3 linked regions of the Canis lupus familiaris genome follow. The protein of the gene in region 2 purifies or fractionates together with the protein of the main gene of each other region. This does not show direct contact. Links are inferred from orthologs where the notes say so. Each region holds a gene or a part of one and is shown on either strand. Other genes may lie near its edges.

The links. The genes of interacting proteins can lie anywhere in the genome.
Region 1: the proteins of STRAP (region 2) and TGFBR1 purify together in Homo sapiens (affinity purification with western blotting; 3 studies listed by BioGRID and IntAct, with this or other methods). This does not show direct contact. The link is inferred for Canis lupus familiaris from reciprocal best matches to the Homo sapiens genes STRAP and TGFBR1.
Region 3: the proteins of STRAP (region 2) and SZRD1 purify together in Homo sapiens (co-immunoprecipitation; 3 studies listed by BioGRID and IntAct, counting the BioPlex papers as one, with this or other methods). This does not show direct contact. The link is inferred for Canis lupus familiaris from reciprocal best matches to the Homo sapiens genes STRAP and SZRD1.

Annotation. Positions count from the first base shown.
Region 1 is NC_049232.1:56,544,406-56,548,818, reverse strand, and holds part of TGFBR1 (TGF-beta receptor type-1), read right to left. Parts: intron 3,732-4,413; coding exon 3,575-3,731; intron 1,740-3,574; coding exon 1,615-1,739; intron 128-1,614; coding exon 1-127. UniProt on the Homo sapiens protein: Transmembrane serine/threonine kinase forming with the TGF-beta type II serine/threonine kinase receptor, TGFBR2, the non-promiscuous receptor for the TGF-beta cytokines TGFB1, TGFB2 and TGFB3.
Region 2 is NC_049248.1:15,362,124-15,366,536, reverse strand, and holds part of STRAP (serine-threonine kinase receptor-associated protein), read right to left. Parts: intron 3,803-4,413; coding exon 3,706-3,802; intron 3,038-3,705; coding exon 2,900-3,037; intron 1,321-2,899; coding exon 1,184-1,320; intron 1-1,183. UniProt on the Homo sapiens protein: The SMN complex catalyzes the assembly of small nuclear ribonucleoproteins (snRNPs), the building blocks of the spliceosome, and thereby plays an important role in the splicing of cellular pre-mRNAs.
Region 3 is NC_049223.1:80,809,465-80,813,877, forward strand, and holds part of SZRD1 (SUZ domain-containing protein 1), read right to left. Parts: coding exon 4,189-4,413; intron 2,901-4,188; coding exon 2,798-2,900; 3' UTR 1-2,797.

The DNA.
Region 1 (4,413 bases), on a different chromosome or scaffold from region 2:
CAACTCTGCCATCTGTTTGGAATATTTGGCCTTAACTTCTGTTCACAAACAACTTTTCTCATTTCTTCAACTGATGGATCAGAAGGTACAAGATCATAATAAGGCAGCTGGTAATCTTCATGAATTCCTATATTGGTTAAAAGAAATTGTTTTTGAAGAATTTACTCAGCTAATGCCAGATCATTCTTTGTCCAGGAATAGCTGAGAGTCCTAGTTCAGGGTTCCATTAATAAATTAGCGAAGTGGAACAGGGCTTCTAGCTTGCTCTATCTCATCCACATCTGCATCAACAAGCATCAACAACCCATCTCTCTGAGTTGGTACTGGGCCCACACTCTGAAACTACATATCACTAGGGGATCAGCAAAGGCTATTTTAATGACGGTTAACTATGAGCTATGATGACTTGATTAACATTTTCACCTCATGTGCAAGAAATGATAGTTTTTAACCTGTGAGTGCTCACCCTCTCACTTGGTACAGGGGATATACACTCTACCATGGAGATGTAAATCCTACAAGCAAATCTGGGGTGCAAGTCCTTTACCTCTACTTGGATCTGTCCTCTTTGCTATATAATACAGAGACATGCTCTCCCTCTTATTGCCACATAAACCCAAGTCTCAACCAAGCCTGGGCCCCTAAGTATAAGAAACTATTCCGCAAGTAAATATTAAAAGTGCTCAATCTAAAACTAAATTTCAGCTAAAATAAACTTGTTTAAAAACTAGTGTAATGGTAATGTAACTGTATTCTGTATATGTAACTTCCAGCTAAGAAGTTGGAGAAAATAACACACTCTCAGGGGGGAAAATGAGTTTGACCCAGGTACATGCTGTAGAAACAGCTTCCTGGGTGGCCTCTCAAGCAGTCATCCATTATAAATAACTATATTCCAAGATAACAAGGGCTTGGTTTCTCATGTTTCCCAAGATTCAAATGGAAATAGAAAAAGAATACACTAGAATAAGCATGTCATATCATGTCATTTCCCCCCACTGCAAATTTTATCTCCATTATTTTCTTTGGCACTCTCAGTGATCACCTGGTGAATATAATTTCTGACTACTAATGTGTATAATTTCATTCAATGAAAAAAACCAAACAAACAAACAAACAAAAACACGACAGGGGTGCCTGGGTGGCTCAGTCAGTTAAGCATCTGCCTTCGGCTCCAGTCATGATCCCAGGGTCCTGGCATTGAACCCCGCATTGGGCTCCCTGATCAGTGAGGAGTCTTCTCCTTCTCCCACTCATCCTGCTTGTGATTGCTCTCTACCACCATCTCTCAGTGTCAAATAAATAAATAAAAATCGTAAAGGGAATCCCTGGGTGGTTCAGTGGCTTAGTGCCTGCCTTTGGCCCAGAGCGTGATCCTGGAGTCCCAGGATGGAGTCCCATGTCGGGCTTCTGCGTGGAGCCTGCTTCTCCCTCTGCCTGTGTCTCTGCCTCTGTGTGTGTGTGTGTGTGTGTGTGTGTGTGTGTGTGTGTCTCTCATGAATAAAAAAATAAAATCTTAAAAAAAAAAAATCTTAAAGAAAAAAAAAAAAAGCGGCTATCCTGGACCACCTTTTCTGTTCATGACAAACTGTTGGGAGAGGGGGAGAAATTTACCACCAATGGAACATCGTCGAGCTATTTCCCAGAATACTAAGCCCATTGCATAGATGTCGGCACGTTTGAAGGATTCAAAGTGTTTCATATTTATGGAATCATCTAGAACTTCGGGGGCCATATACCTAAAAAAGAAGTCAGCAATTTACTTTATGGAATAGTAGCCATACTACTTTTGAACTGTTTCACATATTTTCTTTTCCTACTGAGAATTTTTTTTATATATATTTTTTAAATTGGTATTAACTTTAAGACTTTTCTTCCCTTTTAGCATGGTTCTGCTTTTTAAAATGACTCATGCTTCTTATAGAAATTTTCTCAAAGTTCAAAAAGTACAAAGTGAAAAATCATTAATGCTTTGATGAACAACCTTTCAGGTATCTCTATTCATATATGGAGATACACACACACACACACACACACACACACACACACACAATATTATATAACTAAAATATTAGACTCAAGAAAAATATTAAATATCCACACTGCTTTGAAAATTAATGATGTCAACTAAATGCCATGAAAAGCTGAAACAGCAATTTCATGCTATCTTATCTGCCTTATGATCTTCATTTCCAATGAAAGACACCTATATAACAATCATGACTATTATAAATGTCTTAACATATACCACCCACTTTGTCAAATACTATGCAGGGATCATATATTTTAATCTAGAAGTCTTCTCACTAAAATAGGATGAAAAGGAAGGATGAGGACATAATCCAGGGAACAAAATAATAGATTAAAAAATGAATGCCAGTCCTCCTACTGATGCCTCATTGTAGGGTTTTGGAATTTTAAAAACCCTCCTGAAGTTACAGATCAGGATCCATGAAGAACTGTAGCAATCACTGTCTTGAATCCCCACATCAAGAGTTCTGAGAGTCCTCGTCAAATCCAGAAATCACAGATACAACTGAGATAGAATAAAGCTTGGCTCTATCCAAGGTGGAGGCAATAGTGTGAAGATACATTGTGGCAACATGCTGTGATATACACACTAAGGCCTTTGGGGTCAGAAAGGCCTAAATTCAAATCTCAGCTCTTCAGGTGAGGCTGACCTTTTTATTTAACATCTATGGGGCTGTTTCCTCTTCTGTGAAATGAAGGCAATGACACCTACCTAGTTATGTTCTTTAGAAAACTCATAGATTCAACAAATATTTACTAAGGACTTACTATGCATTAGGTGCTATAATGGATGCTGGGAATACAAGCCTGATCTCAAGCAGCTTGCAATCCAATGGAATATAAAGACAAGTAAATGGAGAGTTATAATGTGCTCAGTGCCTTAATGGCCCAGCTTCACAGCTTGCTATGAGAGCCCCTGGGAAGGGCGCCTCACAGTCCAGGAAGGGCTTCCTCTAGGAAAGGAAGGGTGACTATAAATCAGGGAAACAAGACAATAAAGCTTTTTGCAGCAAAAAAAAATAAAAAAATAAAAAAAATAAACCAGGGAAACAGCAGGACAAAGTCTGCTCTAGGATACAACACATGCAGAAATTCTAAGGAAGAAAGTATAGTTCCAGGAACTAAAAATAAGAAAATAGTTGGGCTAGCTACAGTACAGCATTTGAAGAGAGCATTAACTGAGAGAATGAATATATATATATATATATATATATATTAAGCAAGAACCAAGCATATATATATGTATGACCCATTAAAATGACTGGCACATACTGGGTACCCTATAAACATCAGCTCCTATTATTATTATAATTTTTCTGGAAGGGCCACGAATGATATTTTCTGGAAGGGCCACCTTTCATCAGCAGGCATCTTTAAAAGTCAGGTAACCTTGGCTTCAGAGCAGGCAAGACCATGAGATCTTCTACCTGTGGGCAATCTAATAAAGTACAGGTTTGAGTTTCAGAAGATAATCCACATAAATGAGAAGGAAATTAAAAAGAAGTTGAGCTCAGAAGATAATAAACACTATTTACAAGCATACCTTTTTGTTCCCACTCTGTGATTTGGAGCAATATCAATGGTATCTGTGGCTGAATCATGTCTCACTGCCAGTCCTAAGTCTGCAATACAGCAAGTTCCATTCTTCTTTACCAAGATATTCTTAGATTTCAAATCTCTATGAGCAATGGCTGGTTTCCCTAAAGAAACAAAAAGTAAATGCAATTGCTTAAAAAGTGATAGCAATCACAATTCTCCCCTTTAGGTTCAAAGCCTCTTCTCCTATCCCAGTGTCAAAGCATTTCAGCCCATAATACCTGGACAATTACTAAACAACCTCAAATGAATCATTATATCAAAAGTTGCTGAAATTATATTTATTCAAAGAAAATGGAGAAAATAAGATGGTGCTCAAAAAATGTAAGTCTACCAATTCAAAGATGGGGAGTTAAAGATGTTAGTTTGCTGACATCCTATGAATTATTTATGGAACTCTCATCATAGCCTGATATTTCAGTCCAAGAACCAAGCATGTACACCACTTCCTTTACTTACCAACTGTAATGTACTCAGTATTTAATTTATAATCTTTACTACTAACAGTAGACTCCCTGGAGCCCTCCTAAACTGCTGATAGGAATGTAAAATGGTGTAGTCACTTTGGAAAAAATAGTCACAGTCTGGTAGTGCCTCAGACCATTAGTTATTGTATAATCCAGTAATTCCACTGTATAAGAGAACTGAAAACATATACCCACACACAATAAAAGTGTACACCAATGTTCACAACAGCATTGTTCACAAAAGCCAAAAGTGGAAACAATGCAAATGCCCATCAACTGATGGACAAATGTGGTACATCCAAACAATGGGAGTATTAAT
Region 2 (4,413 bases):
CTCATCTTCCCCATCTCTGTACAACCAGAGAATACCAAGAGAGTTTTATCGTGAGAGTAAAATTTTCATGAAAGTAGAAAGAATATGAGAGGTTTGTAATGAGAATAAGCTGGGTCCACGGTCTGGTGTTCACTAACTGTGATCTCAGATCTCAGGCAAATAATTTACTTCTTTTTCAAAAAATAAAAAACATGGCCAAAACATTCTGAAACTTTGAAAACTGACGTTAAATAAAAATAATAAAAAAAAAGTCTCTCATTTAAAAGTCATCTATATTCAAACAATATAGGGTGAACTATAAACAATTATAATAGATTCTATGTTTCATTCACCAAACTTCCATTTATCCAACCCAAATCTATCAGTTTTCCTAAAGAAACAAAACATATAGTTGTCTTTTGTTCTTTGTGTATAATTCTAACAAGCTTAATTTCATTGGGTAGTAAAGCAAGGCAGCTAGAAACAAGTAGCAGCTTACAGAAAAAGACTAAATACACTAGTTCAAAAAGAAATTCTGTGAAGGCTAAAAGTAGATACTGAGAACCATGATTATAAAATAGCTAGTCAATCAGATAAATGTAAAGTTAGGATGTAGATTAACTTCAAATTAATCTTACCTGCCCTTCCCCTTCCTTTATGAAGGACTACTATGAAAACGGAAGCAAAAGTCAGACTCCAAACAAAAAAAAAACCCCTACCAAACAAAAATCCCCTCCAATTCAGATCCCTAAGGTATCCCTATAATACACCATAACTGTTTTTTGTCTACACTATTCTCTATAGAGCTTAGAGATTTTTACATTGGCTAAAAGGGAAGCCAGGTAGATGAGCTACATATTAGCATTATACTTCAGAAAGAACAAATACTCTTACATCTGTTTAACATGATTTTGACGTAAGACTGCCTGCCTCCTCCTTCCCTCAAATAAATACACTGCACTACTGTATAGAATATCTGAATACAATGAACTTAAGTTAAAAGGAAAAGGTAAAATTGAGAGTTTAGCATGCTTTGTTTATAGCTCTATAAATACTTCTATCCAGAGTGGGAAAAAAATCCTTTTTCACTTGAAAATAGAAAGTTTTAGTTAGCTGAAAAATTTGTTAACTGAGGTATTACTGAAATCCAGCATTGATAAATGTAACCACATCATTTTAAGGGAGGAAAAAGAGAACAACCCACCTAATTCTTCTCCACTATTATAATCATACTTATAAAGTTTAAAGTCTTCACCACCTGCAACAAGAAATTCTTTCTCAGGATGAAGAGATGCAGAATTGATGGTTGCAGGAGCTTCAAAAGATTTAATTGGGTCCAAACTGAAAAATGATTTAAATAATATTGATGAATTTTCAATATTGCATAAACAATACCAGGAAAGAGTACTTTTAAACTGTTCCTAATTCCTGAAACCCAAGAAATAATTATATTTTCATTTAGTCAAACATAGTGATGTTAAAAAAACAACAACAACAACAAAAAAACCTCTAAATAATATTAGCAAAAGTCCAGAAGGATACTCTGCCCAAGTGGAATTCATTCCAGGAATACAAGTACACTTTGTACAATGAACGCTTCCCTAGAAATGACTGTGGTGGCTAATTCACAACAGTATGGTTAATATATCTGGATTTTTGCCCTGAAAGAAATTTAATTCTGTATTGTTTGATTTTTCCATGACAACTACACATTATCTTTGAGAAAATGTTTTATAGTAATTAACATAAAACACTATTTGTACATTATTCTCAACTGCTGAGAATTTATAAGCTTCTGAAACAAAACCTTCAATATCACAAAAATATAAAACTGCTAAAGATGGTTCCATCTTTGCTATCAAGCTTGAAAGAAAAACCAAATTTGAAACTATAGCTATATAATAAAAATCAATGCATACCAATAGTTTCACATGAATATCAGTGAGTTTTCACATCAGCTTTTTCAGAGAAATTGATACATAATTTAGTAAAACCTAAGTATTTTCAAACAATTTTGAATAGCTAACAACAGTTTAAAATAAAAAATCAAAATTACACTTATAGGGCCCTCGTAATTAAAAAAAATACCCACACAAATACATGCATATATAATGTTACACATGTATAATGAAGAAAAAATGTGTAACCAAGAAAAAAAACTAATGGAAGATACAACTACCATTAACATTCTGGCATCTATGGTTGAAGAACAGTGGGTAAATTTTTAAAAATTATATTTCCCAAATTTTCAACAAGGGCATTTACTATATTTACAGTCACAAAAAAATTACATCTTTTTTTTTTTTAAAGATTTTATTTATTTATTCATGAGAGACAGAGAGAGAGAGAGAGAGAGAGAGAGAGAGGCAGAGACACAGGCAGAGGGAGAAGTAGGCTCCATGCAGGGAGCCCAACATGGGACTCAATCCCAGGACTCCAGGATCATGCCCTGGGCCAAAGGCAGGCACTAAACCTCTGAGCCACCCAGGGATCCCCTACGTCTGTTTTTAAAAAACATTATTAGGTCTATACAAACTTTGGAATAGAAGAAAAAAAATCACTATTTCTCTAAAATGTTAAAGGGAAAATGAATAAGAGAATCAAGATCACAGTAGCTTTATACAGTAATGAACGTTAAGTATAATTCCAGTCTAGAGATCCTTTTAAGAAAAATATAATCAAAAAAAGAAAATTTAAAAGTTACTAAATTTTACCAATAAATCTCCCCTAAACACTGGAAATAATTAGATTAATTCCCTAGTGTATCAAATTCTTAAAATACACATTATTAGTGGTATGGAAACATTTTCCCCATATAATATGGTCAAGATTTGCCTTATTAAAGAGTTATATATTTTTCACTTCTGCCTTCCAATTTTTAAGTTACCAAAAAAAAAGGGAAGGTATTTCTTGGACATACCTTACTGCACTATGAAAAGCAATAGATCGTCCATAAGTTATTACCAAGATCTCTCCCTCAGGAATATATTCCATACTGCTAACAGACATATTAAAATTTAGAGATTTCACTTCTGTCATGGTAGCATGATCCCAAAGGCTGCAAAAGAAGAGGAAAATAAGGTGATAATTAGCTTATTTAAGAAAAAAGCTTAATTCCCAATTATATTTACAGATTAACCAATGAAAGCATAATCACAATTGTAGTAAAACCTCCTCCATTCCAACTCATAAATTATAGATGATATGGAGAAATTTGGGGTTCCTATACAATGTTAAATTACTTGGTATCTTGTTGGTAAAGTTAACTTATACTTAAAAATACCTCTCTTGGCAAAACTATGCTAAAAGTCATGTAAGGTTTTAATCTTAGCAATTTTAGTGTCACTCTAAATAACAGTTCTTAAATTCTGTATTTATAAATCTGATTGGGGTTTTTTCTCCACAGAAAAAAACATCAGGTGTCAGCACACAAAATTTCATAGAATTTCAGGAGTTTCATGGACCTCCTGTAGCCAGTGTGTCCACTACTTCAGGTCAAGAGCACATGCTTATAAAGATGTCAATAATTTTAATTCAGTGTCTTGTAGATTATGCTCTATGTTTATAACAGTAAATGGATAGCTCCAAGAAAATGTGACCTATGTACAACTTAACTTTCAATGTATAGAGATAATTCTTCCTACATACAGTTATGAGAAATATTTAAAATATAAGCACTAAGGTCAAATGTTTCAAACTTTAAATTACTAAAGAAAAATTACTTACCGGACAGTTTTATCATCAGCTGAAAGAATCTGTTTATCCTCACTGCACCATAGAGCTTTCTTAATACCAGAGGTGTGACCACTGATTTCCTTAGGTTCTTAAAATGAAACAATGTAGAATATATTTGTTAATATTTGGTTTTTTAAACTAAGCAATACTGGAACAATTAACTATGTGAAGAAAAAAGAAGTACATTTTAAATTAAGCTGCAACTTTTCAAAGCCCAACACAATGAAAACTTATGGTTTCCACAGAATACATTTAGTTTTTCTACACTGGATTAAAAATTTATCTGCATGACAAAGAACCCAAGAGCAATGCTGCTATATGTATCTGGGAGTGAATGCATTGCTCCCTCCAGGCTGTTTCTGCTTTCAGTAGCATAACTGTACCACACTGAAATAAAAGAAGCTCATCCAACATATCACTAACACTGGGACCCTCCTCCCAGCCTGTTGGTAGAAACAGGAAAAAAGAGGGAAGTAGAGGCTGACAGGAGAAAAGGAAAATAAAAAGCAATGCAGTAATTCCCAAGAATATTTCTACATTGAGAACAAAGCATCAAAAAAAAAGGGGGGGGGGGATCTGTCTCTGCTGGAGACTTTCCCTGCAAAAGATTAACAAGAAAAAAAAAACCCTACTCTTATCTTTGGGCAAAAGCAGATGCTGGAGGCAAAGCCATTCAACACAATTTTGAGCAAGTCATTT
Region 3 (4,413 bases), on a different chromosome or scaffold from region 2:
GGGCAGGGCGGGGCAGTGGGCTCTGGAAGGGGCTGATGGTAGCAGATAGGGTGTTGCCTCCTGCCTGCAGGTGGGGAGCACCCTGATTGAGTGGGCTGAGAAGGGTTGGTCACCAGGCCTGGACCCCCAGCTCCTTTGGTTATAGGCTGACATCAGAGTAGTGGCTCATGGGAAGCGGTTAGCTGGAAGGTCTGAGGCCTGGCTCATGGGGTCAGGGAGGAGCTGGGGGAAAGGGGGACAGTACCATGAAGGCAGATAAACAGGCAGCAGCCTCAGGTTTCTGCCCCACCCCCACCCCCCCTGGGGTTTTCCAAGCCAAAGCCTGCAGCTTACTTAAAAGAAAAAAACAAAAAAAAAAAAAGAAGAAGAAGCACTTAAGGAAAGTCACAATCAAAAAAAAAAAAAAAAAAGAAAAAGAAAAAGAAAAAAAGAAAGAAAAAAAGAAAAAGAAAACAAAACAAAAAAACCCCACACACAAAATCCAAACCATTCTCCCATCAACCCTCCCACCTCCCCCCAACACATTTCCTTGTTTTCATTTCTTTCTCTTTAAAATTTTGCCTGTCACCTCTCCATCTGGGAAGCCAAGAGTACAACTGTTGATGGGTGGTAGCAGGCACAGTGGGCAAAGCCCCATCTTTGGCCAGAGGGAGGTGGGAACACCAGTCCCTACTACATCCTCAATCCACAGACACCCATCAGCCAGCCTTCCCTTCCACTCCCACTAGGGGAGAGGGGGCAAGAGCAGGTGGTCCCGATGGCTGAGCAATCAGTATTCCTGGCCATCCCACCTGGCCTACCTCTGTACCCTTCTCCAACTGAAAGGACAGTCTCATCTTGGGCCAGAAACTACTATTACATGAAGGCTAGACACTGTACATCTAGAAGGAGGAAACTTGGTCAGGGCAGTGGAACTATAAAGACAGCAGCCAATCTTCTTCCTTGGCCACTTCTGGGGGATCATCCCTCTTACAACAGCCTGTGGATACAACCCAACAGCCTGTGGCCTCTTTGTGACTGAAGCTCTGTTCCAGCTCTGCTCACGCACCATTTCCTGGCTGCTCATGGTTATAAGGCTATGCTGTGGACTAGCTGCTGATTCAACGGGCAGCTGGCCCTTCCTCCTCAGCGGGAGATGCAGTGGGACATGGCTTACTGGGCCTGACCTACATTCCCACAGGGCAAGGCTGAGAGCCAGGTAAACCAAAGGTGGAGTGAGCCTGCAAAACCTAGCTTGCCACCTTGGCCACCGCAAGCTGCCCTAATCACAAAATGTCCTATCACCCACTCCAAAATTCATCCGCTGAGTGGAGAGGCTACCTGGCTGGCTGAGGGATAAGGCGCAGTGCAATGGAAGAGACCAGAAAGCCTGAGAGGACCCAGTTATACAAACACACACATAGCTGCTCTAGGCAGCTGCCCTCTTAGCCTCTCCCACCTTAAAGAGCCAAAGCAAATCTCTAGGCTCTAGGGACAGAGGGGAAACTGCCTTCATTCCAGAGCCTTGCTCTGGAAAAATGGGTGAGGGGTGGCCTGGGTCTATGGTCTGTCACCACCAATCTTTGCAATGCACAGCTTGCCTTTTCCCACATGTATTCAGAATGGTCTGCTCCCAAGGTAGTGATTTCACAAAGGAAATATACTAGGCATGGTGCCATCAACAGAGATGGTGCTCCACAGACCCTTGAGAGTTCAAGCCTTGCTGGAGTGGGAAGATCTGTCCACCTTCCAAGCACACTGGGCAGGAGGTTCAGAGTCCTGGAACCACTTTCTCCTGGTTCTCCTCGGGCTAACAGCAAAACACTGAGCAAGTCTCACATTCCTTACTTCCGAGCCCGGAGTGCATCTCACTCCCTGCTCTCTTCTAGAAGGAGCAAGCCTGGCTGGCAGGGAACCACCCTGAGGGGTATGGGTAGGGGAAGTCTGTTCACTTTCCCTATCTCCCAAAATACTAGAGGTGGGGTTGGCATCCTCCCCAGGCTCTCTGAGCCTATAGAGCTAGCTCAGTCTCCAGGTAGGGCGAAGATGCCCTGGGACTTAGCTGGGGGAGGGAGGTATAGGCATGGGGTGCTCATCTGTCCTGGGGGCTGCAGAGCCCTGCCCCTTTTCTGGGCGGCAGTAGGAATACAGAAGCTAAGCTCACCAAAGTCCTATTGGTTAATGTTTCTGGTGAATTTCCCAGAAACATTTTTAAGTAGACTACCAAACTACCCTTTCTCAATTAAAAATTCATTAAACTGCTAAAACCCCTCCCATGCACTTTTTCTTGCAAATCAGATTATTTGTATAAACAAACAAAAGTAGGAAGGAGAAAAAAAAAAAAAGAAAGGACATTTTCAAATGGAACTTGCTTTTAAGTGATGAAGACATGCACTTGCGGGTGGGTGGACGGGAGTTCTCATCCGTATTTTGAAATCCCAAATTAATGAGCATGATAAACTGTTATTGCTGGCACTGGCTTTACCCCAAGTGGCCGAGTGACACTGTCTGACTCTCTACTCTGAGTCCTTCTTGGGTCCCCCCAACCCTCCCCTGACCCCCACCCTTTCCCTTTCCATTGACTTGGGACAGCCCTTGTAGACGTGCCAATCACAGTGGGAAGGGGGGGGAAGGAGGGAGGTCACAGTGCATGGGGTTCAAGGTCACAGTGGGCGGAGCAAAGGGGGTCACAGTGCAAGTAAGTCAGGTCGTTCCCTCTGCTCAAGTCCAGCTGTCTGCCACGGCAGTGCGACCCGTGGCGGACGACCCAAGAGGCGGTGATGGCGGCAGCGGTGGCGGCATCCTTTCCCGCACGCATTTATCTGCGCTGTTTGAAGCCCTGTGACCCATCTGGACCCAAAGGCTGTCTGATCACATTATTGGGCTGCCTGCTGTCCTCAGGTTGGGAGATCCTGGTTGGCCTGGAGGGAAGAAGATCAGAGGGAGGCCTGAAAAAGGACATACAAGAGGTCCCCAAATCTTTTTTTTTTTAACTTTTTTTTTTAAGATTTATTTTTTATTCATTCAGAGAGAGAGAGAGAGGCAGAGACACAAGCAGAGGGAGAAGCGGGCTCCATGCAGGAAGCCTGACGCAGGACTCGATCCAGGGTCTCCAGGATCATGCCCTGGGTTGCAGGCGGTGCTAAACCGCTGCGCCACCAGGGCTGCCCAAGGTCCCCAAATCTTAAAGCCAAATCTTAAGACTGCAGCTGGGGCAGAAGCCAAAGCAGCTATCAGCCAACTCTGGCTCCCTCTCTGACGAGCTGGGAAGCTCACGGGCGGGGGGGGGGGGGGGGGGGGGGGGGGGCCAGGAGTCTAGGCTCACCTCTTCCCCCGAATCTAGAGGTAGGGGGAGTGCTCAAGGGCCCACCCTGTCCTGAGGCAGTGACCCCGGCCAGCTCCACCTCCACGGCACTGTGTGGCACCGCTCCAGGTTGTCAAGCAGAGGTAAGACCCCAAACCTAGGGCTCAGCAGAGGGACCCAGCACCGGCCACTGCTGAGCCCTGCTTCTCTCCAAATCATGACTCATACTAATATGGAAGACTAAAAGGAAACAGATTTTTCTAGTCTGCCAAGTGAAGGCTTGGAGAACGGAAGTCTATCAGATTAACGAAGGGACAGGAAGAAGGTACATAGATTAAGTCCCAGAATAGCAAGCCCGAGGAGGCCTCTCAAAGTCAGAAAAAGGCTACTTTTACAAATACTGCTTTGGCAGAAGGTGACAAATTTACATAATGCAACCTGTAGGACTGCAGAGAAAAAAAAGTGCCGGGAATGAAAAAGGATTTAGAAAATTCACCAAACATCACAGAGAGCTATTATGAGACCCCGAAGATAACATCTAAGCAATTCTGCTGTGCCAGGCAGGGTTCTCAGGACACTACACTTATTCATTTGCAAAATGAGTTGACAGGGGAGGTACTATCGTTATCCCATTTCCCCCCCAGATGAGGCTATGAGGGTACGGAGAGGCTAGGCAGGCCCAAGTGGAAGGAAATGGCAGATTTCTGACTCAGTCTGTGACACGCAGAGGGGGCACACCAGTAAGCCAGACAGCAGACCCTGACCTTGCCCCCGGGCTCGGCTTAGCAGCTGGAGATGCGGCCTGCCTGCGTCTCACTACTCTGCTTGTCCCCAGGCTACTCCCCCTCTTCTACCTCAAAGTCGCCTGGCATAGTGGTCCGCGGTCAGCCCTGCCAGCCACTCACCGGTCGAGGATGGGTTTCTCTTGCTCCTCCTCAGGGCTGGCGCTGCCCAGGATCCGCTTCCGGGCCTCGGCGTACTCCGCCTCCCGCTGAGCTAGGGACTTGACAGGAAGGGCTGGCCTGCTGGTGGAGTTGGGGCTGCTGACCACACCGTTGCTGGTGGGTCTCTTGAGGATGCGGATCTGTGGAGGGGGCCCCGTGGGAAGGCTATCGTCCTGAATCACAATG